5 linked regions of the Cricetulus griseus genome follow. The protein of the gene in region 1 interacts with the protein of each later gene in a pairwise test. Links are inferred from orthologs where the notes say so. Each region holds a gene or a part of one and is shown in the gene's direction. Other genes may lie near its edges.

Region 1 (6,049 bases):
TGTTCTTTCCAGAGAGAAGTAGAGAAGTTTTCTTTCCATCCCTCAGACAGACAGACATACGGACACACACACACACACACACACACACACACACACACACACACACGTCTATGCAAGTTTACTTGAGCCTCAGGGCTGGTCCCTGCCCAGAGGGCTGGACCCTTTCTCCAAGTCATCTCCTAGATAGTGGGGCTGGTCCCTAACTGCCCTCTCCCCTGCCTGCTTGCCCTGGAGCCTCCCATACACGTTCTCAATACATTGGTACTTGGATAAAGCCCAAGTTGGGGCTCCACAGAGGGCTCTCCAGTAACTGACAGGTTCTCTACTTCGCTCCTGCCCCCACATGTCCTTATCTGCTGCCCTGCCTTCATCTTCACCATGATTCCTGAGAGCAGAGGCAGGAAGCACAGACCGTTGAAGTCACACAAGAGGACCACTGAGACTTCCAGACGGTTCCAGTTCTTTTTAAAATTGTTTTCCACCTTACATCACAATTTTCTCTTTAAAACTCCACTACAAACTGTACTGACTTACCCAGACTCATTTTCAGGGCAAGGGTGTCAGAGCCGGAGATGTAGCTCTGTAGTAGAGTGCTTGCCTAGTGTGCCCTGGGGTTCAGTCCCCAGAAAATGCCTCCCCCATCAAGATATCCTTAGCCCACGCTTGAGGGCAAACTAAGGTAGGGATATTTTGACATTCATTCATTTAACAAATATCTCCTAGGATTTTAATGAACAAAGGGCTATGTTAGAAGCATGACTCAGTCTTACCTGTCTCCAATACCCTGACTCTGCCATATTCTCAAGAACCCCGCTACAGTGCTCACGCATTGGATGCCAGCATTCCATGATCCCATCTTTGATTCACTGCTCTTTCTTTGCCAAAATAGTGTCATCCATTCTCTTTTCAATTGCTTTTGATATGCTGGCCATTTCTAAACATGAATTTCCAACCCCAGCTTCCCCCACTCTTTAGATCTCTTTATTACCCACTGGACATCTCCAGAGGCATGTCCATATGTCCCTAGACCAGTATTATTCCTCTTGAATCCCTGCCCTGGTGACTTTCACCACAATCTGCATAGGCCCACCAGCCAGGAACATTTATGGGCTTAAATTCCTTCTTCCTACATGGTATTAGTCAGCATATCACACCCTTCCACTCTGGCACTCTTTCTGAAGTTCAGCTGTTCCTCTCCTCCTTCTTAATTTACAGAGCACGGGATTTGGAGTCAGGTTGGTTTGGGTTTGAATTCCAGCTCTACCATTTTTGGTTGTGTAATAGTTATTTAACCTCTCTGGAGCCTCAGTCCTCCTGTATGTAAAATGATGATAATAATACCTACCTCACAGGGTTGTTGTGAGGATTTAAATTAGATATTGTACGAAAAGTGCCTAGCACAGTGCCTGGCACACAATAGAGTAGGTGCTCAATAAATGGTAGCTATTATTATTATTATTATTATCATTACTAATTTACTCTAAATTGGCAAACATTTAGAGTATGTTGGGAAGGGAAAGCTTTTGCAAAGATAGACTTGAAATCTTGAATGGTGGTTCAAGGGTTAGAAGTATCTGGTTTTGATCACTGAATAATGTCCCAAAGCCTTTTGATAGTCTTTTGAGAAATGTCATGTCTTCATCCTGTTATGTCCTGGCTTCTGGAAGGAGGTTGCTAGGAATAGTAAGATTAGCAACTAGATTTCCCCATTCCACCCCACCCCATTCCTTTCCACCATATAGAAGTCTTGGGCCTGCTCAGCAACAGGATGTCTCTGCCTACAGAGGGACAAGAACCACATTTTCTTGATTTGGCAAGAACCAGGCAGGCTTTTTGTGTCCAGGGTTAGCTCCACCTCATTCTCTCAGTTTGGATAACATGAGAGATGGAATTTCTTAATTCCATGCCCAACTAAATTGAGGTGGGGTTGAGGCAGGGTCTCTTATGTATCCCTGGCTGTCCTAGAACTCCCAATGTAGACCAGGCTGACCTCGAACTCACAGAGATTTTCCTGCCTCTGCTTCCCCAGTGCTGGGATTAAAGGAGTGCACCACCAGCACACATAGTCACAGGTTTAGCTGAGAAAAGCGTTACCTAGTTCTGCCAAGAATTAGCTTTGCCAAGATTTGCCCTCCCCACTCTTCTCTTTGGATAATTAGCCCTGGGAGAGGCCCAGTCATGATTGTAATCGACACCTACCTTGGGAGAATCAATCCTGGTGTTAAAAAGCAGAGAATTCAGCTCTAACAGGCTCATGCCAAGTTCTGTTTGTAAAGTGAAGATAGCCAGTCTTCGGAATCTGAAGACAATTACAGACTACAGTAATTCAAAATTTACAACTGGTTTGGACAAACAGCTTTGATCTCTCAAAGCCTACCGAAACAATCTAACTAGGAATTGGAAGGATTGCAGAGACTACACTTCCCATGATACTCAATGAAGCAAATGAATGGGAGGAGTGTACTATGACGCGTGTTGCCAGCAAGACGCACTAAGGCTCGCGTCGGTTCTCTCGAAGGCCGTCGGTAGTTGTAGTTTTGCTAAACCTAGGGCGCTCTGATTTAGCAGTTTGAAAGCTGCGGGGGCTGACGGGACTTGTAGTCGCCGCTGGAGGCAAGTGCGCAGGCGCAGCTGAGATCAGGGCGGGGCGGGGCGGGGCGGGAGCACTGCAGTGAAAGCCGAGGCAGCGGACAGGCGAGCAGGGGGCGGGCGGACATCTTGGGATCCGAGAGTGGCCCGCCGGCCTTGTGGAGGCTGCTGACTCCAGGTGAGCTGGGAAGCTGGACTTACCGATCCTTACCGGGCTGGCGAGGGCGCCGTGGACCCCGGCCGTGCCCTGCACTGCCCTGGGTGCAAAACTGCCCGCACCCGGGAGTGGCCTCAGCCTTCAGACCCGGGAGGGAGCGGACGACCGGGCGGAGGTGCCTCGGGCGCGATTGCAGCAAGGGCGGGGAGCGACGCCCTCCAGTGACCCGCCGGGCGTCTCTGGGGAGAGACAGGGGCCCGAATCCTAGAGCCAGGACGCCGCGCGGCGCCCCCACCCCTAGAATCCTGGCAGCGCTCAGCCCTGAGGCGTCCCATCTCCCCCATCCCCCAGGACAGTGACATCCCCTTGTGCCACTCCCTTGGACAGTGACAGGTCTCGAACCTTGGGATATTCCTTCCTCCTATTTAACCCCCACGGCTCTTTCTCCTCAGACCTGTGACAGCCCCCGCATGCCGCGGTGCCATCTCCCTGGCCTGGATATCTCCTCCCTTGGCTGAGAAAACCCCACCGGCTTCTCAAGCCTCACTAACCGCAGAGTAGGCCTTGTCTCTCAGCTTTCCCTTTTTCTACTGTCAGTATGTCTCCGCCGATTTTTGCTCCTCAAAAGCACCTATGACCTTTGCTATATGAGAACTAATTTAGGGCCTCGCACAGCCGTCTTAGCTGCTGTGGGGTCACCCTAGTATATTGCTAGCAATTACAGCTAACCATTCCCTTAACTAAATATTCCATGTCTGTCCAGGACACACACAAGTACAACCAACCCCCATCCGCGGTTCCAGTGCCCTGAGCTACCTTCTGCTTGTTACCTGTGGACTTAGTCCTTTGCTCAGGACTCAACCTCCATTTTACATTTTTTTTTTCTCAGCTTCTTTGGAACTGTGAGATGCAAATGAGTCCACCACCTTAAGAGACTTGTCATTGGTCTTGGATTTATTTTCCAGTTTCAGAAAGTCTGTTAAACTAACTCCTGTGAAATTAATACCTGGGCTAATCCAGAAAATCTAGAACCAGATAACCCCTTTTCTCCAATAGTCTAAATTAGTTTTGACCCAAATACTTTGGACAATTGAGGCATTCTATGATCCCTGCCCATTGTTTCTAAATACCAGGCCTGAAGTGAATTACTGGTAGATCATAATTTAGATGGGAGGGTTAATGCTACACACAGACCTTATTTTTAATGCACTTCAAAATTTTGAAAGGACAGTGACCAGAAATTACTGTAGGAGAGGCTCAGCGATTTAAGAGTACTTACTGCTCCTCCAGAAGACTTGAGTTCAGATCCCAGCACCCATGTCAGGTGGCTCATCACTGCTTCACATCCAGCTTCCATACACACAGCACACACACTGGCATGTACATACATGAAGGTAAAATAAAATCTTTTTTAGGAAGAACTATAATAAGCTACTTGGGTTATGAAGTGTGTTTTGTCAGCACTGGGGGCCTCTGCTCCTTTGCCTGCTTATCTCACTGCCTGGGAAAGATGTACCTGCTTCAGCCACTTTCCTGCCTCCATGGGCCTGCTTTCCCTCCCCTACCCCCTCCTGCACACCCTTTCCTGGAATGTGTAGACTTCTAGAGGTTCATGCTCTGCTGCCTTCCTGGAAGAGTTAGTGCTTGCTCTAAGGTTGTGCCTGGTGGAGGTCCCAGGCTCAAGCCAACTAGAGTAATTTCTACTGCCATTTCTGCAACCGCAGGCAGGCCTTCTCAGTGAGTCACTGGAAGGAGCCTGAATTGGAGCCTGCACAGCAGGGGGTTGGAAAGAATCCTTGCTGAGCTCAGCACTGTGAAGAAGGGGTGGGGGTTACCCTCTGGCCCAACCCTTGGGAAAGACTAGATGAATGTGACCTTAATCATGGGCCCCCACGCTCTGAAATTGCTTTCTCCTATCCAGTGTGGAATAAACAGGAACTGGAGCCTAGCTGAGGAGGTGGGGCTTCCCTAGGAAAGCTGCAGGGTCACTTGTTAGAGGACTGAGTCAGGAAAAAAGCCAAGCCTGTATAGCCCCACTGGGGGCTTGGGCAAGGGTTCTGAAGATTTCCCTTACCCTACCCCCACCTTTCCTTCATAGGTCTGTTCTCAGAGCAATGGGTCACAGAGACTGAGCTGCCACCATGATTGGAGGTTTATTCATCTATAATCACAAGGGGGAGGTGCTCATCTCCCGGGTGTACAGAGATGACATCGGGTAAGTTCCTTGGCTGAGCATGCTGTACCCCAACCTCCCTGTCACCTCAGCCTGAGCATGCAATATAGCCTGGTTTCCATTTAGCCATTGGCCTAGCATCGAGACTCGGGCCCTCGGAATGACACCCTCCCCCCAAGCTGCCAGGCTTAGGAATGAATCCCCGCCCTTCCTGTTCCTGTATCTCTGAGGGTTAGGTCTGGTTGCTAACGATGAGTGCTTTCCCAGTCAGGTTGATTCTTCCATTCAGGAGGGAGCGCTATCTATCTCCAGTGGGTGTAGTTAGTACCAGGGCGAGGCACTAATCCATCCAAATCTTGCTTTCAAAATGCTTCTCATATTGAGAGTCTTCCCTAGATCCCTGTAAAATCCTCTTTGGTGGGTTGACTTGGCTGTTTTCACTTCTGGGCCCTTTCTGATTGTGAACAGGCTTGAAGGGCTCTGTGGGTCATGCTGCCTTTGTAGTTCTCTCCATGTCCTAAGTCCCTTAGACCTTACAGAGAGCTCCCTGCAGCTTTGCTTCTCTGCCTTACACCGTGGCGCTTTGCTTACTAAGATCCTCCACTGCTCTAACCTGAGGCTAGGCTCCTCTGGTACTTCCTACCTTGTGTTTCTTTCTCAAAGAGCTTGAGAGAAATAGTCATGGAATAGCTCTGTCGTAGCTCTCCTCTCTTGTCTCCCTGGCTGATGGGCTCACTTGATGTGGCCTCTGTGGCTGCATTCATTGTTGTAAAGCTGAGGTAGGCTTTGTGGCAGTGCCTTGCCTAAGTGAGCCTGGCTGGTCCCACTCACCCCTTCCTCTTCCTCCTACCTCTCTGATGGTTCTGGTTGATGCTACAGCTAAGCCACATGACTCCCCGCATGTCTCGGTGTGCTCCCCACCTGCTGCCTGTCTGCTGCCCCCTCATGGTATGTGCTGCCCCCGCCCTTGGTGTGTTGTGCGTTGTCTAACCCTATCTCTCCTTGCTGTCACTCTCCTCCTCTTGATGGCGTCATTTCTCTCATCCCATCTCATTGGCTGATGTAGCAATAGGTAAGCAGCCTGTTATGCTGCCACTCAGGTACAGGCGGGTAGGGGGTCCTGCTCCCCA
Region 2 (6,089 bases), on another chromosome or scaffold:
TTGTGCTTCCACAATGTAGTCCATCACTGAGGGAAACCAAGACAGGAACTCAAACAGAGCAGGAACCTGGAGACAGGAGCTGGTGCAGAGGCTGTGGAGCAGTGCTGCTTACTGGCTTGTTCCCTGTCTGTTCAGCCTGGTCTATTGTAGAATTTACAGTCACCAGTCCAGGGATGGCCCCACCCACAATGGGCTGGGCCCTCCTCCATTGATCACTAAGATAATGCCCGAGATCTTATGGAGGCATTTTCTCAATTGAGTTTCTCTCCTTTCAGATAACTCCAGCTTATGTCCAGTTGCTGTAAAACCAGCCAGCGCAGCATCTAATCTGAAATCTTATTTCAACCCGGTGCTGTTTGATACTGTTCATTTCACTTTCCTTCTAGAAGCACTACATTCTGTGACAAATCAGAGACTTCTAAGGATGTAGAGAGAAATAAAATCAGTGGAAATCAAGGAGATGATGTCCCAGATGACAAATGACATGACTCACTTGGAGGCCTGTACAGTGGGATTTGTATGCATGGTTTTAAAACTTGCTGTATTTTCAGTTAACTATCATGTGCACATATATGACTACAAAAATATTAACAATAGCTCTAGGTAAAAAAAAAAAAAATTCTGCCTTTAATCCCAGCACTTGGGAGACAGAAGACCGATGATCTTTGTAAGTTTGAGGCCAGCCTGGTCTACAGAGTGAGTTCCAGGACAGCCAGGGCTATACAGAAAAACTCCATCTCAAGAAACAAACAAACAAAATAATACTGAGGAAAATGGTTCCTATATTTGCTTTGAACTCCATGCTCACATTTCCAGTTACCATGCCAACACCTCTCCTCTTGGCTATCACAATCATCTAAAGTGAAGATAAACCAAAGTAATAAGTAATTGACCAGAAGCAAATTCATTTCCTTCTGGTTCTCGAGCAGTGGTTCGTTCCTACCTCAGGGAGAAAGTGCCTTCCTTTCTCCCTCCCCGTCTTTCCTCTGCTTCCTTTCCAGTCTACCTCGGAAGCATATTGGTACTGCTTTCCAATCGCATCTCCAGTTTGACCACCTCCCATCATGCTCTCTGGGCCTGTGCACAACTTGGGACTGTTGCAAGAGTCTCCTGATCCCTTTCCCCTACTACCCAAGTCAATTCTTTGTGATACCAGCCAAGTAATGGCCAAACATTCTCCACTCTGATTACAACTTGCCCCTACTTAAACCTCTTCAGTGTCCAAGAGCTCTGTGTGAGCAGACCTTTTTTCCTCCCCTACCTAGTAATGTGGACACCAGGTCAGGTTTAATCATTTGCCACTACCCTCCCCACCCACCCACACCCTCACTAAGCCAATATCCTTAAATGTTAGTCAAACATTTATCTTAAAGCAGGCAGACAGAATTTTCTTTTAGAAAAAGTTTCCTTTACCAGTTCACTTCCTCTAGCCAAGGCAGAGTCAACATTCTAAAGATTTTTTTTTTTTTTTTTTTTTTTGAGTTTTGGAGACGGAACCCAGGGCTTCTCACATGTCAGGCAAGCAGCACTTTACCACTGAGCTATCGTCCAGCTCCTGAAATAATCTGGTAGACTTCTCATCAGATTTTTATTCTTTCTTCAGTAATGTAAGAGGGGAGAGGAAAAGGATGGGGAGAAGTGGTGAGGAGCCTGTTAAAGGGATTTTTATTCAAATAACAGAAAAGGCCCTTGTTTCTAAAACTGTAGTTGTGTTATGTACTAGTTCTTGAAATTTTGAAAAATTTCAGCCATCCAGGACTACATATCATATCATATCATATCATATATCATATCTCACATCCAGGCCTCTCACAGAGTGTTACTTTCTTATGGCTATAGTCCTTTTTGGCTGGAGTGGGCCCAGTTTACTTGTCAACCAGAGTTAGCTGACATATTTTCTATTGCATAAAAACTTACATTCTCGTCAACTCCCAGATCACTGGTTTCTCGGTCTGGCTCTGTTCCAACCTCCTTCTCTATCATTATCCTTGTCACACAACAAGCTTGCTCTTTAGGCTTACCCACAACACCAGGTTCACACTGCATGTGCTGCTCACTCTGCCAGGAATCCTCATCCCTCTCTCCTTTCATTAGTCCCCAGAAGTATCTACAACCTTCTGTCCTCAGTCCCATGGTTCATTCCTCAGCTGATACACACTTTTCATATTCTGCTTGGCAGTTCTTGGAATGCTTTCAATCAGTTATTTGTCTGGAGATCATTGCAAACTACTTGACAAATGTAATTTAAAGGTTAACTTTGGCTTACAGTTCCCAGAAATACACAGAGCATCATGGAATGGAAATCATGGCTGTAAGAGCAGGAGGTGGCTGGTCACACTGAATTTGTAGTCAGGAAGCAGAGAGGTATGAATATTCTATGTTGTGCTCAGCTTGGTTTCCATTTTATTCAGTTCAAGACTCGAGCCCATGAGATACTAATGTCCACACACAGGGTGGGTCTTACCACCTCAGTTAACCTTACCTAGATAATCCCTTACAGGAGTGCCCAGAGACTTCTTTCCATGGTGATTCTAAAGCCCATCGAGTTGACAATAAAAATGAACCATTACAGTAAACATGAATAAACATCTATGTGGTAGTTATGTACTTCACCAGATTGCTTACTTTATGAAATTAAAGTTGTATTTATTTATGTACTTTTGCTTTTTTTTTTTTTTTGAGACAGGGTTTCTCTGTGCAACAGCCCTGCATGTTCTGGAACTCACTCTGTAGAACAGGCTGGCCTCAAACACACAAGAGATCCGCCTGACTCTGCCTCCTGAGTGTTGGGATTAAAGGCGTGCACCACCACAACTGGCTATTTATGCACTTGAGTTTCACTTTGTTCTTCAGGCTGGCCTCCAAAATCTGGCAGTTCAAAAGATCCTTTGCCTCTGAGGCTGGAGAGATGGCTCAGAGTTTAAGAGCCCTGGCTGCTCTTCCAGAGGACCCAGGTTCAATCTCTAGCACACACACACAGCAGCTCACAATCATCTCTCAATTCCAGTTCCAAAGGATCCAATTCTCTCTTCTGGCTTCCTTGGGCCCCAAACAGGCACGTGATAAATAGGTATAAATGGAGACAAAACACACATGCACATAAAATAATTTCATAATTTTATTTAAAATAGCTTCTGTCTTAAACCTCCCCAGTTTTGAGGACCATTTAACGTGGCATGGTGGCACGCAACTGTAATCTCGGCAGGGGAAGGAAGACTGATGCTAACTCAAGGTCAACTGCTTTTTGGAGTGAGCTCCAGGTCTGCTATAAGCTGCCTGTCTCAAAACAACAAAAACAAAACGAACATAGTTTTTGGGATTTTTGGTTTGAGCTAGGACCTGCTATTTGTTAAATCATTGTTTACAAAATACCTAAACTGGCAAATGTTCATAAATTATTTCAAGCAACCTGTTTAAACAACCCAGCCCTATCACAGCTGATACAAGAAACAAATGCAAATAATAATCAATAGATGAACAAACAGCAAGAATTTAAAAAATGTATGTTTTGCTTACATGTATGTCTGTACACCATATTCGTACTATGTCTGTGGAGGCCAAAAGAGGGTGTCAAATCTCCTGACACTGGAATTACAGACCTTTGTTAGCTATCTTGTGAGCGCTGGGAATGGAACTCAGGTCCTTCGGAAGAGCAGTTAGTGTTCTTAACCACTAATCCATCATTTCTCTATCCCCTAAAATAGTATTTTCTTGTTTGTTTTTTTAAGACAGGGTTCCTCTATGTAGACTTGGCTAGCTTGAAACTAGACCAGGCTGGTCTCGAACTCAAAGATCCTCCTGCCTCTGCCTCCTGAGTGCTGGAATTGAAGGCATGTACCGCACTGCTGGGCTTCCCTAAAATAAATTTTTATAAGTATTACCTTTTTTTCTGCTTTCTTGTTTGAATTATTAAGAATATATTGCTGCCAGGCAGTGTTGATACACGTCTTCAAAGGACACCGCGCATAGGTGGTACACACAAAATAAATCTTTGATACCTTATGTCTTAAATAAATAAATAGCCCCAGAAGGGGGCGTGGCGAGACGCATGCAATCCTAAGCACTCGGGAGGCACGAGCTTGACGCTAGCCCGTCCGCAGAGTAATGCAGTATCAAATACAAACAAATTCAGAAAAAGGGGAAAAAAAATTCCGTGGTAAATTCAGAGGGCCCTAGATACCGTCAAGAAAGAGATTCCGACCAGGAACGAAAGTGATGAAGTGTTTGTTTCTAGACGGGAAAGCCCCGAGCAGAGTACGTTTTGGTGTGGAGTGAGAAAAGCACCACCAGCAACGGAGATGTCAGAGGAACCGGCGGACGACGCGGCGAAGCGGCTCCCGGCCCCGCGACCCCATATCATGAGCCTCGAGGGGCGACGCAGCGCCAGCCGCGCAGAACAACTCCCAGAGCACGAGGACACGTGCACAGGGAAGAGGCGGTTGAGCTCGTCAGGGTGCTGAGAAAAAGAGGAAGAGCGGGTCCTCACGTGCGCTGCACACTACCGGAATACTCAGCCGCTGACAGCCCGCACCCGTTAGCCCCGCCCCCGGGGCGGGGCTGCGCCGGAAGAGGAACAGCCCGCCGGAAAGGGAGTGGCCACAGGCTCGAAGTCCCTCGCGCCGCTCTCACGTCAGCAGAAGAGGGCGGAAGTGCAGACTACAGGATGCGGTTCCTAGTTGCGTTGCTCCTAAGTGTCGCAGTGGCGAGTAAGACCCCCCAGCCCCCGCCCCATCCCACCCTCTCCCTCAGGTTCTCTCGTCTTCACCTTGGCGGGTTACCACCGGAGCTGGCGTCCTCCTTTCCTGGCCCGACCCTCGGGCCATCTCCACCCTTCTCTCATTCGGCCATCACCGCTGGCATCTTCCAGCGCTGAGAAGCCAAGCCCCCTTCTCTTCTCCCAGCTTTTTCTTCCGAGGGCTTAACTGCTTTTTCTATTTCAGGTGTTACGCCGCATGAATCTAACCCACTCATCACCTCAGGTAACGATAATTCTCCGATTCAGTCTTCTAAAGAAAAACTCTCCAACCAGAGCCCCATGTCTCCTGAGAAGGAAGTGGAGTCTAAGCCGGGAGAGCCCGGCGGGCAGACGGATCAGAAGCAGCAGCCGGGAGAGTCAGGCGGGCAGACGGATCAGAAGCAGCAGCCGGGAGAGCCCGGCGGGCAGACGGGTCAGAAGCAGCAGCCGGGAGAGCCAGGCGGGCAGACCGGTCAGAAGCAGCAGCCGGGAGAGCCCGGCGGGCAGACGGGTCAGAAGCAGCAGCCGGGAGAGTCAGGCGGGCAGACGGGTCAGAAGCAGCAGCTCGGAGAGCCAGGTGGACAGACGGGTCAGAGGCAGCAGCCGGGAGAGCCAGGTGGACAGACGGATCAGAAGCAGCAGCCGGGAGAGCCAGGCGGGCAGACGGGTCAGAGACAGCAGCCCGGAGAGCCAGGCGGGCAGACGGGTCAGAGGCAGCAGCCCGGAGAGCCAGGCGGGCAGACGGATCAGAGACAGCAGCCCGGAGAGCCAGGCGGGCAGACGGGTCAGAGGCAGCAGCCCGGAGAGCCAGGCGGGCAGACGGATCAGAGACAGCAGCCCGCTAACCCAAACCCGGATGAGACGGTGGCGTCGACCATGGCAGCAGTTTCCAGTTCGGTGGGATCTGGACAGCGGCAGGTCATTGCAGCCAAATCCCCAAATCAGCCCCAGACAGCAGATACCCAGTCAACCGGGACTGCACAGCAGCCTCCGCCACCCGATCCCAAACCCGATGAATCTAGGCAGAAGCCCCCAAAAGATGATTCAGATAAGCTCACAAAAGTTCCTGCGGACGACCGCATCTCCAAACCCTCCTCAGATAAGGAGACCGACAAGATTGACAAGACGGAGCTAGCTGGAAAAGGACAGAAACCAATGCTTACTTCCAAAACTGAATCTGGGGAGAGACCGGCAGGGGACTCTGACTTTTCTTTAAAGCCAGGGAAGTCTTCAGAGCTTACCGAAGCTGTGGAAACCAAGGAGACTGAAGAGGGTGATACAGAGCCAGAAGAGGGCTCACCGCTTGAAGAAGATAATGAAAAGGTGTTTGACCCTTCCTCCAGTGAGAACCGAG
Region 3 (6,072 bases), on another chromosome or scaffold:
CAACAATAACAAAAAAAATGTTTCAAAATTTAGATTTTTCCTAAGAATTGGTTTTTCCAAAGTGGAATTATTTGTTTACACAAGTTGTTCAGTTGTGTTTTGTGAATTAATAATTCATACAAATAATGAGTAATAGTGCTAGTGTCTCCCAAACATATCTTTTTATCTTAATATGAAAGTAACTTATCCTAACTACAGATAATGAAGCTCCTGATAATATTCATAAATACTTCAATTGCTTGTTTAGCATTTTGAATAGATGACTGAAAGACAAATACATTTTCTTTCTTTTTCTGTAACTCACTAATCTCAAATGGCCATATTTTGACTTTTGTTTGACAAAACTTTCTAATTAGCTTAATAACGAAGAAAAATCTTAATGTCAACTTAAAGAAACTGGCAAGCTGAAGTGTTTGGTTATTTATTTTTTTATTAAATATAATTAAATGTATTTCTGAATATAATTAAATGTGCTGAAGAATGCCTTCTGAATGGGTCCCATCTATAGAGGGTTCTGCATACAATTCTGATATGGAGAACAAGTCACCTGTGGTGACTGGGGCCATGATTGATCAGTAAGAATTAAAATCAAAAGCTACTGCCTATTAATTGGAAAGGTAGCTGCCAATCAACAATGTTACTTTGGGAAGGTGACCTATTATTGCCAAACCCCTAAAGATACATTTATAGCGGCATCCTAAGCATCTGTATGCACAGAAGACTTAAACAGTTGTTCCTAGTGGAGGCAAACATCAGAGCAGCTCATTCTCTTAGATAAAAGCAGACCAGACATATTGGGTCAAGTCAAAGTCATATTTGGAAGAATTATGAAGTTACCCTGTCTTTACAGGTGGGAGATAGGGAGCCAAACCTGTCAACTTTCACAGTTTCTATGTGACAGCCCTTACTTCTGCTGAATTAGAGAAAATGGAAGAGGGCTAGGGAGATTCCCATAGAGTTAAAGAGGATGAGAAGATTGCTTCATAGTGTCTGTAAATGCCTTGGGTTGATTATGTGGTGTCTGAACATGTGCCGGTTGCTTACTGTGGCTCCATCATGCCAGGCCAGACAGATGATGCTCTTAGAACAACCCAAGGGGAGGGAACAAAGAAGCCTATAAAACAGTAATACATACTGTAAAGGTACCTGAAGAAAGTAACACTGTGTTGACATTGGCCTTATTTTGTGCTCTGTCCCCTCGTTACTGTGACTGTCAAGGGAGAAACTTTGCCAACACAGAAGGATCTGGCCAGTTCCAAATGTAATGTCTAAACCCAGAGGCCATATTTCTTCACTCTTAGGATAATTTTGGTTCAAAGTATATCCTTTAACAAGCTCCCTGCTTCAAAAGCTCCAAGCCTCTTTGTTTTGTTTTGCTTGCCTAAACATGTCTCCCCAAAAGCCAAGTTGTGAATACCATTTTATTACTATCCTTTCCTCTGCTTCTAAATGCAGACTACTGAGTGCATTTCTGTGGTATAACTTTGGCCCCTAATTTCGCATGTTTTCTCGGATTAAGTCTGTGTCTTGACAGGCTGTATATTGGCGGGGATGCAAGACAAACATGGATACCTGTGTTAGTTGGAATAACACAATGTGAAAAAAGACAGAAGGACATGTTGGGTTCTTACTAGCCTATGGCTTTAAAGCGTTATTTTTCAGTTTAAAAAAGAATTCTGGGTATTCTATAATCAGAACTTTGATTTGTCCTTGAATGATTCTGAGGAGTATTTTTAATTTCTAACAGCTGACTTTTAAAATTCCATTGTTTTCATTGATTTTTAGGTATATAGAATTGGGGTTAGAAAACATTGCCGATTGTGTCTTGTGGTTTTGGAGACCCTTTGTGTACACAACAATGTAGCACACATATTTTTGTGAAGTAAAATGTTCATTGCATTGTTATTAACTCATTTTGCAATTGTGTCATCCACAGAAATTTAATTGCTATCTTTCTATTTTAGAGACTTCTGCAGTTAAACTTGATTGTCAACATGACAAGATTTAGAATCACTATAGAAATAGACATCTGGGCATATCTGTGAACAGTTTTCTAGATGAGGTTAATTGATTTGGGAATTTCTACCCTAAAGGTGGCCAGAACCATTCCATGGTTGGGGTCCTCAAACTAATTAAAATGGAGAAAGAGAGCTGAGAGGTACTTACCTCTCTCTTCTTCCTGACTGTGAATGCAATGTGACCAGATGTTCCACATTTTGGTTGCCATTCCTTTTCTGCCATAGTTGACTGTCTTCCCTAGAACTGTAAGCTGAAATAAACCCTTCCCTCACTAAGTGGATTTTGTCTGGTGATTTGCCACAGAAACAAAATAAGTAACTAATACAATCCTCTATACAATTTACATCTCCCCCGCCTTCCACTTTTAATGCTTTGTTTTCTCTGTGTCCTTAATATCACATGATTGCCTGCATCACAGGGATGAGTTCTGTCTCACGATGAATTACAGCTGTGTAAACTTAAACATCTCTTACCACATCAGCATTGTGGTGGCTTTGATCAAAGATGATTGTTAGTCACTGTGGCTCAGAAAGCTGATGAGTATTGTTTTGTTGTGGTTTGCTACCTTACTCGGCATCTTCTGACAGACCTCTTTCCCTTTTATTCTAGTTTGCCAAGGCACAAGTAACAGGCTCACTCAACTCGGCACTTTTGAAGACCACTTTCTGAGCCTGCAGAGGATGTTCAACAACTGTGAAGTGGTCCTTGGGAACTTGGAAATTACCTACGTGCAAAGGGGTTATGACCTTTCCTTCTTAAAGGTTAGTTCGTTTAATGTGGTTGTCCTATTCAAACACTATCAAATGAAATATGAACACTCAGTAGAATCTGACTTGAGGCATGGATACTTCATCTTATGGAAGCCACAAATCCAAGGGACTATAGGAGAGTGTTATGAGAAGTCCACTCTTCCAGCTAAAGTCAAGTTGCTTGTGGGGGAAAATGGGAGAGAAACCCTTCTGATGTTCCACAGTCCTAAATATTCCTAGTGAGCCATTAGGAGCCAACTCTGAAGGCTTCAAAATCTGCTATGCAAACACTTGGACTTCAGCTGGGTTTACTTTGCCTTTATTTCTTTTTCATTTTTTCTTCCCCTTCTCCCTCACTTCTTCCTTCCACAAGAAATCATGAGAGATGAATTCAAAATAGTTATTTTCACTTCCATTTATTTGAGTTAAAGTGGGAATCACAACATATCAATCAGCTGTTCTTTAATGTAACCTTCAAATGAAACGTGAAAGAAATCATTGCAAATCCTGCCACAACCTTTACCCACATGTGATTGTCTATGTGTCTTAGATTTATCTGCCACATGAATGTGTCATTGTGAAGTTAAATGGGGCTCCTGGGCCCACTTTAATAGGCTTTGTTTTCCCTCTCAGACCATCCAGGAGGTTGCTGGCTATGTGCTCATTGCCCTCAACACTGTGGAGAAGATCCCTCTGGAGAACCTGCAGATCATCAGGGGGAACACTCTGTATGAAAACACCTATGCCTTAGCTGTCCTGTCCAACTATGGGACAAACAGAACCGGGCTTAGAGAACTGCCCATGCGGAACCTACAGGGTAAGAGGTGGGACATCAAGGCCAAGAGGGATTCTGATGGCATGTGGCAAATCTGTCATTTCAGTTAATCCTAACTCAGAGAAGACATGTTTGTGAAACACATGTACTGAGTGCTGTTTGCAGGATTCAGTGGGTGGCAGTTACAAAGATGATAGGTAATGAGATGGAAAGAGATTTCAGCCAGGTAGAAACCAGTTCTTCCATGGATGAGGAATAACATCCAGAGATGGAAATAAATGACCAAGTTCTCCGGTCAACCTCGGTGAGTGAGAGTTTGTGTTAATAGGAAATAAACTTGGGCCAGAGGCAGAAAGGACATGCAGTCACTCCCTCATATTGCAGGGAAGCATTCCTAGGCAAAACTGGATGTCTGAAACATTAGGTGTCCAAAACCATACATGCCATGCCTTTCCTGAATCTATATGGCTCTCATCATTCAGTTCATTGATTAGGTATAGCAAAACATTAACAACAGCAATGAAAAATAACAGAACAATTAGTGTGCTTCACCAAATGCTTGTGAATTTGGTCACTTGATGTTTCTCCCAAAGTGGACCAACAGCAGTTGGACCCCAAAACCACTCATGGGAAAGGGATCTAATGTATTTAAAATCTGTCCTGTTTGAGGAATAGGTTTCAAGGTTAATATTGTTACATGGAAACTCAGGTGTAAGTTGGGAAGAGGAAGGAAGATTTTGGAGTTGAAGAGGAAAATGGAAAGGGTGGCTGAAATGATGAGAAACAACAATTCTTCCTCCATTTCCTGGACTGTTTCTCAAGTCAGTAACTCCACTTAATGCCACAGCCTTCCATAAAAGCAGGTGTTGTACTCTGTCATTTTACAGATAAAGGCATGGCATTAAGATAACTCTTCCTGTACCCCATGCCTGGTTCTTTCATCCCTGTGTGCCCTGCAGTTCTGATGGGGAAGCCATTTGGACTGGGAAGGGGATGCGGTGGAAGAAAAAGTAGAGAGAATGGGACCCTATTGGTGTGTTGAGCTAGGATGTGGCCACACAGCCAGCCAGACACTTCCTTCCTCAGCTCCCTGGTTCACCATCCCATAAACTGCCTCCAGAATTCCCACCCACCACTTTAACTGCTCTGAGCACCCACGCATGTTTCTGAATTTTTGCTAGCATTCATCTCTCCTGTACACACATTGCATGAAATGGCCTGTTTGGTACTTTCGGCATGCCTTGTTCTGCCTATCTTGCCTCATACATGTGAGGAAGCCAGCGGGTGTGAGTCTAGATCCTGGAGCCAGGCTGTCTGTGTTCCAGCCCCAACTCCATCACCCGTCAGTCAAACGACTTTGCAGATATTCCTTCACCTGTGTTTTTCTCTGTATCTCAGTGCCCTCACGTCCAAAATGTAGTACACATATTTGTTAATGTGTTCCCTCTGTGTTGACAAAAATCAACTGTATTACTACAGACAAAGCATGCCTCAGCTATTGAGTTCCTACTTTGCTGTTGTTGTCTATATGTGTGTCTGTGTGTGCATGCTCTAACTGAACTACCCCTATTTTCTAATTAAAGCAAGGTTATAGTTTTATTGGTCCCAGTTATTTAATATAGGACTACTGCCACAACTGAGCATTTCCCAAATGTTGAAATAAAAACAAAAGATTTGACTTTCTACTCATTGCCTTTCTCTATTCAGTTAGAAGGAGGAGACTAGTGAATCCTGCCCCCGGCCAATTATCAGTTACCTATTGTTGGCTCTCCCACCTCCCTGTGCCTCCTTGTCTCTTCTCTTGGTTGTCACTGCAACCTTGATGTGCCTGTCTTCTTTTGCTAAGTTTGACCCTATACTTCTGTCTCCTCTTGTTTCTATCATACTGCTGTCATCTCTATTTTCCAGGTAGAGCTCCACATCTTGGCTCTTTCTGACTTGCCCACCTTCCTTCTGAAGTTCTTTTATCCCCTGGCATCTGTTAAGAAAACTGTCACCTGCCCCAGATCTACAGTTGTGCTTTGTGTCTCTGTCTGCTGGAAGCCTTCAGCACCTCCAACTTCCCTTTCCTCTAAATGCTGCCCCTGAACACATGCAAATCATCTCTGCTTGTCAGCCAGCAGTCTCTGCAAGATTTCCCAGAGAAATCCTCCTTTTCCATGTCAGCACACTGTACAGACAGGTGCTTCCATTCCCTGCGGGTGCAGTCGGGCAGCCACTTTTGTGTCTATAGTTGAGTTTCCCCACATTTATGCTTTTTATTTCCACTTTAATTATATACATATGTGTGGAAGTGGGGTGTGCATGTGAGTGTGGGTGCCCATGGAGGCCAGAAACATTGGATGAACTGGCACTGAAGTTACAGGCAATTGTGAACCACCCAATATAGGTGCTAGGAATCAAACCCAGGTCCCCTAGTAGGGCAGCGTATGTCATCTCTCCAGGCTTTTCCCCATATCTCAATGATAGTCTTTGGGTCTTGGTGAGGTAATACCTACACATCAACTAACCCAATTCTCAGTCCTGTCT
Region 4 (5,229 bases), on another chromosome or scaffold:
CCTGCTTCTCAATCGCTATCAGATTCAGCAGTTCCACTGAGCAGAGCAGTGCCTCCCGCCTCCTCAAGCGCCACCGAAGGCGGAGAAAGCAGCGGCCACCACGCATGGAAAGGGTGAGGTTTCTTTGGGAGAAGTGGGCCTTTGTTTAGCTGGTCCACAGAGGCTTGGGGCTTGTCTCTGTACTGGTGAAGAGCAGTTCACCTCTTTCCTGTCTTCCTGCCACAGACCTCATCCTTTAGCAGTGTCACCGATTCCACAATGTCTCTCAACATCATCACAGTTACACTCAACATGGGTATGGAAGCTCCTAATGAGAGAAGGGGAGGGGAGGGTCTCCAGGGTTTCTGGGGCTTAGTCCCCTCATGTGAACTCCCCCCACAGAGAAGTACAACTTCCTGGGCATCTCCATTGTGGGCCAAAGTAATGAGCGGGGTGACGGAGGCATCTACATCGGCTCCATCATGAAGGGGGGCGCTGTGGCTGCTGATGGGCGCATAGAGCCTGGAGACATGCTTTTGCAGGTGTGCTGACAGGTTGGACACTGGCTTGGGCAGAGGCTCTCACCCTCCCACATTGCCTCTGACCCACTTCTCCCTTCCAGGTGAATGATATGAACTTTGAGAACATGAGCAATGATGACGCTGTACGGGTACTGAGAGACATTGTGCACAAACCAGGGTGAGCCTCTGCTAGGTTCCCACCCTTAGGCCTCTTGTTTTTAAGTTCTTTCACCTTTGTTGTGCAATTTAAAAAAGAAGTGAGGCCAGGCATGGCGGCACACACCTCTAATCATAGCACTTGGAAGAGGCAGGTGGCACTTTGATTGTGGTCTACATAGTGAGACCCTGTCTCAAAAAAAAAAAAAAAAAAAGCAAAATAACAAATCTAAGTGGCAGTACATGTCACTCCAGCTTAAATCATGAAAAAATTTTGGTGACTACCTCAGAAAGCCCACCCACTGCACACTCCTTCCCACTTCCACCCTCCTCACTGATGGTAATTACTCTCTTGACTTCTTTGGTCAAGAAAACCTTTGATGGGTTTTTCCACCCATGCCTGAATCCTGGAACAAGATGGTTCAGTGTTACCTGTCTCGTGCTTCCTGTGAATGAATGGTACAGTGTGTACTCCCTTGTTTCACTCAGCACTATGTTTTTAACTTGCCCATATTGGTGAGTCATCCACATTGTGGAGCCCTCCACTCTCACGTTCTCATAGCCCAGTTATGTGTGTGTTCCTTTCTCCTGTATCTTATGCATCAGACGTTGGTACTTCTGAAGTCTCTTCCCTTTGTGTGCTTGACTGTGACTGGCCTTCTCTTTTCCACAGCCCCATCGTGCTGACCGTGGCCAAGTGCTGGGATCCCTCTCCCCAGGCCTACTTCACCCTCCCCCGAAGTGAGTGATGCTCAGGCAGGGGTCTGAAGTTAGATCTGGGGAGCCTGGGCATGGTGGCTTAAGCTTGTGATCCTGGAATCTGGGAGGCTAAGACAGGAGGCTCTCCCAAAGTTTGAGGCCAGCCTGGAATATATAGTGAGTTCCAGGCCAGCCTGGGCTACAGAGTGAAATCCTGCCTCAAACAAACAAGAACAAAAAGAGATTAGAGGTGCCAGAAGATGAGGGTGGGCTTCCAAGTTACAGGGGATGGGTTCAGGAAGGTCAAGGGAGGGACAGGACAGGGCTAGTTTCGTACGATTGAGTGGTGATTATTTTACTTTTGCACCAGATGAGCCCATCCAGCCAATTGATCCCGCTGCCTGGGTGTCACACTCCGCTGCTCTGACTGGCACCTTCCCTGCTTATCCGGGCTCTTCATCTATGAGCACTATTACATCTGGCTCGTCCCTGCCTGATGGTGAGTCTCAAGTCCCTTCCCACCTCCCTGTTTGAGTGAACCTTTCTTCAGTTCTCTGTTCTCTCCTCTGTTAGGCTGTGAAAGCCGGGGTCTCTCTATCCACATGGACATGGCCTCTGTGACCAAGGCCATGGCAGCTCCAGAATCTGGGCTAGAAGTTCGGGACCGCATGTGGCTCAAGATCACCATCCCAAATGCCTTTCTAGGTATTCCCAGACCCTGAGCAAGGTGGCATGGGAAGGGGAGGAAGAGACCAAGGCCGGGAACAGCACAAGGGTGAGGGTAGGGTTTGGGAGGAAAGTCTGACTTTTCCCACTGTTGATCTCAGGCTCAGATGTGGTAGACTGGCTGTACCATCATGTGGAAGGCTTTCCTGAGCGCCGGGAGGCCCGGAAGTATGCCAGTGGACTATTGAAGGCGGGACTCATCCGACACACTGTCAACAAGATTACTTTTTCTGAGCAGTGCTATTATGTCTTCGGGGACCTCAGTGGTGGCTGTGAAAGTTGTAAGTCACCTTCCCTGGTGTGGGAGAGCAGATTGTCCTACCTTGTTCTTCAGTCCAACCCTAGACCTGGCCCAGGAACTGTAGCCATGGCCACCAGGGTAGTCAGGCACTGTGTGTTCCACGCTTGGCCTTGTAGTGGCCAACCATGGGGGCTGATATGTGCCTATATACTGCTGAACAAGCCAGGTACTAGTTGCAGAACTGTATTCCCAAGGGAAAGAGTGCCTCATGAGTCCCACAAAAGCATATTGGGCTAGTGACCCTGGTTGTGTCTGTGCCCTAGTAGCTGAGTTTCCTATTCCAAGCCGCCATAATCCCTTTGGCCTTCCCATTGTGGGTGGCTCTGGGGAAATGGTTCCCGGTTTCTCTCTGTTCTCAGGAATCCTGGCCTCTTAAAACAGGGACCTCTCTTTCCCTTTGTTCCAGACCTAGTTAACCTGTCTCTGAACGACAATGATGGTTCCAGTGGGGCTTCTGACCAGGATACCCTGGCTCCTCTTCCTGGAGCTACCCCCTGGCCCCTGCTGCCTACCTTCTCCTACCAGTACCCAGCCCCACACCCATACAGCCCACAGCCTCCACCCTACCACGAGCTTTCATCCTATACTTACGGTGGAGGCAGTGCCAGCAGCCAGCACAGTGAAGGTAAGTCACCCCACATACTAATACAGCTAGAGAGTGAGGGCACGGTAGAGGGGACTCAGGGAGGAGGCAAGAGCAGGGGCTTCGGGAATCCAGAGGACTCTGGACTGAGCTTCACTTACCCCATTCCCCCCCCCCCAACAGGGAGCCGGAGCAGTGGGTCAACAAGAAGTGATGGGGGGGCCGGGCGCACAGGGAGGCCTGAGGAACGGGCCCCTGAGTCAAAGTCTGGCAGTGGCAGTGAGTCCGAGCTTTCCAGCCGGGGAGGCAGCCTTCGGCGGGGTGGGGAACCCAGTGGGACTGGTGATGGGGGTCCCCCTCCATCCAGGGGCTCAACAGGCGGTACTCCTAATCTCCGAGCTCTTCCAGGGCTCCATCCCTATGGACCTCCCCCTGGCATGGCTCTCCCCTATAATCCCATGATGGTAGTCATGATGCCTCCACCCCCACCCCCTGTCTCTACTGCAGTGCAGCCCCCTGGTGCTCCTCCAGTTAGAGACCTGGGCTCTGTGCCCCCAGAACTGACAGCTAGCCGTCAGAGCTTCCACATGGCCATGGGCAACCCCAGTGAATTTTTTGTAGATGTTATGTAGGGCCTACCCTGAGGCCGCATTGGGTCCGTGCCCTTGGCCTGTCAAGTTTCAGCTTGGTGCTCCTTATAGTGCCTGTGTTCATCCTGGTGCTTGATACCTACCACAATGTTTTTGCCACTGTGACTCTCACCAGCAGTGCCTGGTCCTTCCCCTTCCTCAGGGGTAGTCGGGGACCTTTGGTTATTTTTAGCTTTATTTTTTATAAGCCTTTTGGGGGGTTAAAATAGACTTTCTTATATTTTGGGGAGTATTTTTTTAGTAGACATTTTCTCTTTTATGTGAAGAAACCCTTCATATAAAATTTCCTGGGTCCCTTCTAACCCCAGAATATGACCACCACCTCCAGTTGCCTCATTAGCAGTCACTTGGAGGGTGGGTGGTGGTTAGTGGTACCCTGGGAAGAGGAAGGGGGGGGCCTGGGTACCCTAGACAGCAGTCCAAGGAAGCTGGTGGTGTGTACATGGGGACTGTGTAGCTGCCTTTGTTACTCTATTTATTTTAGTCACTTGTATAAAATACCAAATAAAGCAATAGAGGCCAATTCCCCAAGCCTCTGGCTCCTTTCTTTGGGAGGCAGGCAGTGGAGAAGAGGGAGACACGAGGAGGGACCAGTGAGGTACAGCAGCAGAGGGGCTTGTTAGAAAGTTGGGATGGAAGCAGGCTCTGGACAGGAGGGACTGGAGAGATGCAGCAGCAGAGGGTGGCTTGTTAGAAAGTTTATTGTTCTTAAGGCAGTAAAGAATCCAGAGAACAAACACTTATTGGGGCCCCATAAAGGGGGCCTGTGTTTTGGCATAAGGGAAGGCACATAACTTAGATGCTAGAGCCTGACTGGGTGTATTCAGATTCGAAGGGGGTTGCTGGTCACCACGCCACCACTATCCACCATGGCCTTGGAGATGCTTTTGAAGTTACGGAAGAGCTGCTGCTGCTGAGGGTTGGATTGCAGGTTAGCCATGTTTTCTCGGATCCGTGCTGCAGCCTGGGGGAGAAAAGAGGGTCAGGCCTCTGTCTCAGTTCCCCACTTGCACTGGGTACCTCCAAGGCTCACCTCAATACACCAGCTGTCACAGAGCATTTTCTCATGCTGTGCTTCGGGGTGGCCCTCACTCAGGGATCTTGAAGCTCTGTAAGGAAATGAGAGGTTGATAATCTTGTGCTGTGGTACTGGCCCAGCTACTCTGTGGCTCAAAGCTCCCAAGCTTCCCACTCTGCCTTCCTACCTGGAGAGAACCACCACCATGGCATAGAGGTCAATGGCTCCATCTGCCAGCCGGTGCAGCAGGAACTGTTCATCTGTCAGGTAGATGAGGGTGTGGGGGTTAGCAGTCTGAGGGGAGGAGGGAGGGAATGGGGCGGAAGGTAAGGGGGTTGCAGGGCTCACTCACTGACGATCCCTTTCTTGTGTTTCATCAGCTTGGCCTCCACTACAGTGGCAAATTGCTCCAGAGCCTGCACTGTCTGAAGAGACAAGAGTCACAGAGCTCAGAAGAAGAAGGCAGCCCAGCCCCCGGCTGTAGGCTCTGCTCAAAGGACCACTCACCAGTTCACCACTGTGACTTAACTCTGGGTGGACAACCCCGGAGAGACTCAAACCACTCCCAAGTCCTGTCCGCCTGGAAAGAAATGGAA
Region 5 (5,414 bases), on another chromosome or scaffold:
CTGAGAGTTTGGGTAAGAATTCCAGGAAAGAAAGGGCAGATAGCTAGGTGCAAGTTGTAGTCATTTGATACTTGGTATCAAGGGATAAAAGACCACTATGGAAAAAGAGCCTGTTGTGACTCTTTGACGATCAAGTAGGATAAAAGTGGTCTTGGCAAGGGAGTAATCCCTTGTGAAAAGGTGGACAATTACATCAACCTGAATAGCTTTCATGTCACTGCTTGTCTTGTAGCTGGCAAAGTGAGAGACAGATTCCTTTTGGGGATGTCCGGCTACCACCTCCAGCTGACTATAATAAGGAGATCACAGAAGGTGATGAGGTCGAGGTAAGGCCTGTGAAGTCCAGCTTTCCAGTGTTAGTTTGCCTTTTTCCCCTCAGGATTCTGTTTTTGTTTTTGTTCTGTTTAGTCAAGACAGGGCTTCTCTGGCTGCCTGAAAACTTGTCTGAAGACCAGGCTGGTCCCAAATTCATAGAGATCCACATGACTCAGCTGGATTTTGGGTTTTTAACTTAACTGATTTCATGGGTATGATCTGAGGGTGCACCAGTTTAAAGGGGACACTTCTTTGTGTGTGATAAATCCACTTAAAGTCTAGTCCTGTAGTATACATATGTGAGTTTGAGTGTGAGTGAGACTTGGAATTGAACCCAGCGCCTTGGGCATATTTGTGTGTTTGTGGGGTGTGTATGCATGATTGTAGGCAGGAGTGTGCCACAGCTCACAAGTGGTGGTCAGGACAGCCATGAGCTCTTGGCCACTACAAGAAAAATGAAATAATTAAAACTCAGTGATCTCATACTTTCAGTTAGTATCTCCTTACTCTGGTTTTATTTTTGTGGGCTTAGGAATCCTTTTTAAGTGTCCGAATGCTTTCTCCAATTCTTTTGTTTATTTTTTTAAAGATTTATTATGTGTACAGTGTTTGGCCTGCATGTATGCCTGCAGGCCAGAAGAGGGCACCAAATCTCATTACAAATGGACGTGAGCCACCATGTGGTTGCTGGGAATTGAACTCAGGACCTTTGGAAGAGCAGGCAGTGCTCTTCACCAAAGAGCCATCTCTCTAGCCCTTGGTTTTTTTTTTTTTTTTTGGTTTTTCAAGACAGGGTTTCTCTGTGTAGCTTTGGAGCCTATCCTGGCGCTCGCTCTGGAGACCAGGCTGGCCTCGAACTCACAGAGATCCGCCTGCCTCTGCCTCCCGAGTGCTGGGATTAAAGGCTTGCACCACCAACGCCTGGCTTAGCCCTTGTTTTTTATTTTTTATTTTTTTGAGGTGGTGTTTCTCTTGTGTATCGGCCTTGGCTGTCCTCGAACTCACTACTTAGACCAGGCTGGCCTCCAACTCAGAGATCCTCCTGCCTCCTGAGTGCTGGGATTAAAGGTGTGCATCAACACACCCGGCTTTATTTCTTCAGTTTTTTAATATAGTCTTCAGGGCTGTGTCTCTGTATTTCTAACTTTTCCAGGTTTATTCAAGAGCCAATGAACAGGAACCTTGTGGTTGGTGGCTGGCCCGGGTTCGGATGATGAAGGGAGATGTGAGTGACTAAAGCCCTTTGGGGAAGTCCTGAAACTGTTGTTTTGTCCAGGGAAAGGTAGCAAATGGATGGTCAGGTCATACACTTTTTCCTTTCGCCAGTTTTATGTCATTGAGTATGCTGCCTGTGATGCTACCTACAATGAGATTGTCACCCTGGAACGACTTCGGCCTGTTAATCCCAACCCCCTTGCAACCAAAGGCAGCTTCTTCAAGGTTACCATGGCTGTGCCTGAAGATCTCAGAGAGGCGTGAGTGTTGGAGAGGTTGGGAACTGGGGGCTCTCTACAGTGCTAGCCTCTGTCCTTATTTCTCCCAGGTCTCCCACTCTTCAGTTTGTTCTGTTCATCCCCAGGTCCTGTGAGGGCCTTTTTGCATGATACATCTGCAGCCCTTTCATTTTTCATCTCTGTTCCTTTCTGTCTGTCTTTGTTTTGTTTATTTTGAGACAGGGCTTCACTACGCAAGCTTTGGCTGGACTGAAACTCCATTTGTAAACAAAATGGCCTTTAAGTCACATAGATCCACTATGCCCTGCTTTGATTATTTTTAAAAACAGTTTTCTTAATCCCTATTCTTCAACAATGATTCTATCCCAACCTGGTCTATACATTGAGTTTCAGGATAGTCAGGGCTGTTACGCAGAGAAACCCTGTCTCAAAAAAAAAAAAAACAGTGGTTTTATCTTTATTTTCTCCTCTCTTCTTTTTGTCAACCTCTTACTGGGCACTTTACTCTTCCCTGCAGCTGCTCCAATGAAAATGTCCATAAAGAGTTCAAGAAAGCACTGGGAGCCAATTGCATCTTTCTCAACATCACAAACAGTGAGCTCTTTATTCTGGTGAGTTTTCTTTCTTGAATTTAACATGGGCCTTTTCAACAGTTTTCCCTTTTATAAACTTTTGCAGAAGTGGATATGCTAGACTGCACTCACACTTACTTGTGACTTTGTTACTCCTGACCCTTCTTTCCTTAGTTTTCCTCATGTACTTTTGGTTTTTGGAGACAGGGTTTCTCTGGGTAGCTCTGGATGTCGTGGCATTCCCTCTGGAGACCAGACTGGCCTCGAACTCACAGAGATCCACCTGCCTCTGTCTCCTGAGTGCTGGGATTAAACCAATGCCCAGCTGAGATTTTTTTTTTTAAGAGAACATTTTTCTTTACAGATGTATTCATTGCGTACTATACAGTGTTCTGCCTGCATATATGACGCAGGCCAGAAGAGGGCACCAGATCTCATTACATATGGTTGTGAGCCACCATGTGATTGCTGGGAATTGAACTCCGGACCTCTGGAAGAGGAGCTCTAGTGCTCTTAACCACTGAGCCGTATCTCAAACCCCCAGTGTGAGAGGTTAAACCTATGTGCTCTAGACAAGTACCCTAGCTCTTGGATATATCAGGATCTTTGTGTGTGTGTGTACATACTTGAATGCATTGAATTGCACATTGGGAGGGGGTGGCCCTGAAGTGTTGGTGTCAGTTATCTTTCTCAGTCACTGTACGCTTTACAAGACATAGTGTTTTCTTTGAATCCAGAACTAGCCAGTCAGCCAGCCTTGGGAACTCCTGTCTCTACCTTTTTCATGTGTCTCTCAACCACCTGTAACTCCAGTTCTGGGGTACCTGACACCCTCTTTTTGTCTTTGTACCTATGTATACATAACATTCACAGAGAGACACATATAAAGAAATCTTTTTCTTTTTTTGAAATGGTCACATTTTGACTGTCCTAGTAGAACTCACAATGTAAACCAGTCTGGCCTCAAACTCAGAGATTTACCTGCTTTTACCTGCTGCATTCACCACTACCCCTGATATAACTCTTTTGGGGGGGGGGCACGCTATATAACTCTCACCTTGTACTAAGTCCTTATTGTCAAATGACTTCTGTCAGAATTTGTCTGTCCGGCCACTATGTAACTGACAGTAATTTCCCTGGAGCCTACCTCATTTCTTTTTTGTTCCTTTGAGACAGGTCTTAACTGTATACCCCCAGCTGACCTTATACTTACTATGTAGCTGAAGCAGCACTTGTTTGTGACAGTTTTCCTGCTTTAGTTTCCCTAGGTTTGAGGTGATAGGCATGTGTTACCACGTCTTATTTTAAACTTCATTATTGTTCAAGGCAGGATTTCTCTCTGTGTAGCTCTGGCTGTCCTGGAATTCACTCTGTAGACTAGGCTGGCCTCAAACTCCCAGAGATCTGCCTGCCTCTGCCTCCCGAGTGCTGGGATTAAAGGCTTGAATCACCATGGCCTGGCTGAACTTCATCTTGACATGAGCCTTCTTTCAGGGATTCTGGCATTATGGTGCCCAGTATCTGATGCTCCCTGGGGTGTATTTTGCTTTTAAAACTTATTCATTTCTTCCCAGTCAACCACAGAAGCCCCTGTGAAGAGGGCATCTTTGCTGGGTGATATGCATTTTCGAAGCCTTCGAACTAAATTGCTGCTTATGTCCCGCAATGAAGAAGCCACCAAGCACCTAGAGGCAAGTTTTGGCTGCTCTTTCTCATGCTCAATAATGTTGTCCTTCTTTCTTTTCACATCTTCTTGTGTTTCTGGCTGTTTTATCTCACACTCTCCAGATGACAATGTTCTATCATGTTCTGTCTTGTTTTTTTTTTTTTTTTTTTTTTTTTTTTAGACAAGGTTTCTGCATACCACTGGCTGTACTGGAACTCACTCTATATGCCGAACTCACAGAAATCCACCTGTCTCTGCCTTCTTGAGTGCTGGGATTAAAAAGATATGCCATCATATTTGGCCAAAATGTACTGATTATCTTTCTTCCTTTCTATAATAAACTTTGAGGCAGGTTTCTGTGTTACATAGTTTTGGCTGTCCTGGAACTTGGTGTATAAAACAGGTTGGCCAAACTCAGAGATCTATCTGCCTGTCTCCCAAGTGCTGGGATTAAAGGCGTGTACCACCACGGCATGGCAAATGTTATTTTTAAACAGGGTCTTACTGGACTCCTTGGCTTACCTGAAACTCTGTGTAGGCCAGGCTAGCCTCAACCTCAAAGAATTGCCTGTCTCTGCTTCTCAAATGCTGAACTATAACCCAGCCCACAGGTTTTTTTCTTCCCGGCTGAGGATAGAACACAGGGTCTGTTGCTTGCTAAATAGGTGTCTATTTTTTTTTTGGCGGGGGGGGGGGGGGTTCGAGACAGGGTTTCTCTGTGTAGCTTTGGATGTTGTCCTGGCACTCGCTCTGAAGACCAGGCTGGCCTCGAACTCACAGAGATCAGCCTGCCTCTGCCTCCCTAGTGCTGGGATTAAAGGCATGCTAAATAGGTGTCCCTCTAATGAGCCACACCCTCAACTCCTCTACAAGTTTTTGAGAGGGAGCTGGAGGTGAAGTCACCATTCCTTCCATTTGATATATATGTCTTTGCCAGTCCCAAAAGAACAGGTTTCTTTTTTTTAAGATTTATTTTGCCAGGGCTGAAGGTTTGGCTCCTTCTAGTAGTTAAGAGCATTGGCTGCTCTTCCAGAGGTTCTTACTTCAAATCCCAGCACCCACATGGTAGCTAACAACCTTTTAAAACTGTAGGCCCATGGGATCAGATGCCCTCTTCTGGTGAATCAATGTACATGCAGACAAAACACCCATACCCATGTGGTGCATACCCATATACATTTACTTATTTATTTATTTATTTATTTATTTATTTATTTTTGGTTTTTCGAGACAGGGTTTCTCTGTCTCGAAACAGGCTTTGGAGCCTATCCTGGCACTCGCTCTGGAGACCAGGCTGGCCTCGAATTTACAGAGATCCGCCTGCCTCTGCCTCCCGAGTGCTGGGATTAAAGGCGTGTGCCACCAACGCCGGGCTGAATATATCTTTAATTAATTAATTTGCCTGGT

The links.
Region 2: the proteins of Ap2m1 (region 1) and Tgoln2 interact in a two-hybrid assay, tested with the Homo sapiens proteins (2 studies listed by BioGRID). The link is inferred for Cricetulus griseus from reciprocal best matches to the Homo sapiens genes AP2M1 and TGOLN2.
Region 3: the proteins of Ap2m1 (region 1) and Egfr interact in binary tests that used the Homo sapiens proteins (3 or more experiments, as listed by UniProt). The link is inferred for Cricetulus griseus from reciprocal best matches to the Homo sapiens genes AP2M1 and EGFR.
Region 4: the proteins of Ap2m1 (region 1) and Dvl2 interact in a two-hybrid assay, tested with the Homo sapiens proteins (2 studies listed by BioGRID and IntAct). The two-hybrid records come from large-scale screens. The link is inferred for Cricetulus griseus from reciprocal best matches to the Homo sapiens genes AP2M1 and DVL2.
Region 5: the proteins of Ap2m1 (region 1) and Fxr2 interact in binary tests that used the Homo sapiens proteins (3 or more experiments, as listed by UniProt). The link is inferred for Cricetulus griseus from reciprocal best matches to the Homo sapiens genes AP2M1 and FXR2.

What each region holds. Positions count from the first base shown.
Region 1 is NC_048597.1:68,100,003-68,106,051, reverse strand, and holds the start of Ap2m1 (AP-2 complex subunit mu), read left to right. Parts: upstream 1-2,646; 5' UTR 2,647-2,767; intron 2,768-4,844; 5' UTR 4,845-4,887; coding exon 4,888-4,961; intron 4,962-6,049.
Region 2 is NC_048601.1:64,347,743-64,353,831, reverse strand, and holds the start of Tgoln2 (trans-Golgi network integral membrane protein 2), read left to right. Parts: upstream 1-2,305; coding exon 2,306-2,311; intron 2,312-4,234; coding exon 4,235-4,706; intron 4,707-4,940; coding exon 4,941-6,089. UniProt on the Homo sapiens protein: May be involved in regulating membrane traffic to and from trans-Golgi network.
Region 3 is NW_023276807.1:89,407,213-89,413,284, reverse strand, and holds the start of Egfr (epidermal growth factor receptor), read left to right. Parts: upstream 1-2,684; 5' UTR 2,685-2,699; coding exon 2,700-2,780; intron 2,781-3,401; coding exon 3,402-3,585; intron 3,586-6,072. UniProt on the Homo sapiens protein: Receptor tyrosine kinase binding ligands of the EGF family and activating several signaling cascades to convert extracellular cues into appropriate cellular responses.
Region 4 is NC_048600.1:83,853,000-83,858,228, forward strand, and holds the end of Dvl2 (segment polarity protein dishevelled homolog DVL-2), read left to right. Parts: intron 1-22; coding exon 23-113; intron 114-225; coding exon 226-295; intron 296-381; coding exon 382-521; intron 522-601; coding exon 602-678; intron 679-1,329; coding exon 1,330-1,397; intron 1,398-1,725; coding exon 1,726-1,854; intron 1,855-1,928; coding exon 1,929-2,060; intron 2,061-2,182; coding exon 2,183-2,362; intron 2,363-2,788; coding exon 2,789-3,007; intron 3,008-3,148; coding exon 3,149-3,597; 3' UTR 3,598-4,141; downstream 4,142-5,229. Other genes in the region: Acadvl (very long-chain specific acyl-CoA dehydrogenase, mitochondrial), read right to left, coding at 4,439-4,579, 4,649-4,724, 4,821-4,893, 4,986-5,058, 5,141-5,213.
Region 5 is NC_048600.1:83,485,761-83,491,174, forward strand, and holds part of Fxr2 (fragile X mental retardation syndrome-related protein 2), read left to right. Parts: intron 1-232; coding exon 233-326; intron 327-1,468; coding exon 1,469-1,540; intron 1,541-1,641; coding exon 1,642-1,790; intron 1,791-2,286; coding exon 2,287-2,380; intron 2,381-3,915; coding exon 3,916-4,032; intron 4,033-5,414. UniProt on the Homo sapiens protein: mRNA-binding protein that acts as a regulator of mRNAs translation and/or stability, and which is required for adult hippocampal neurogenesis. Specifically binds to AU-rich elements (AREs) in the 3'-UTR of target mRNAs.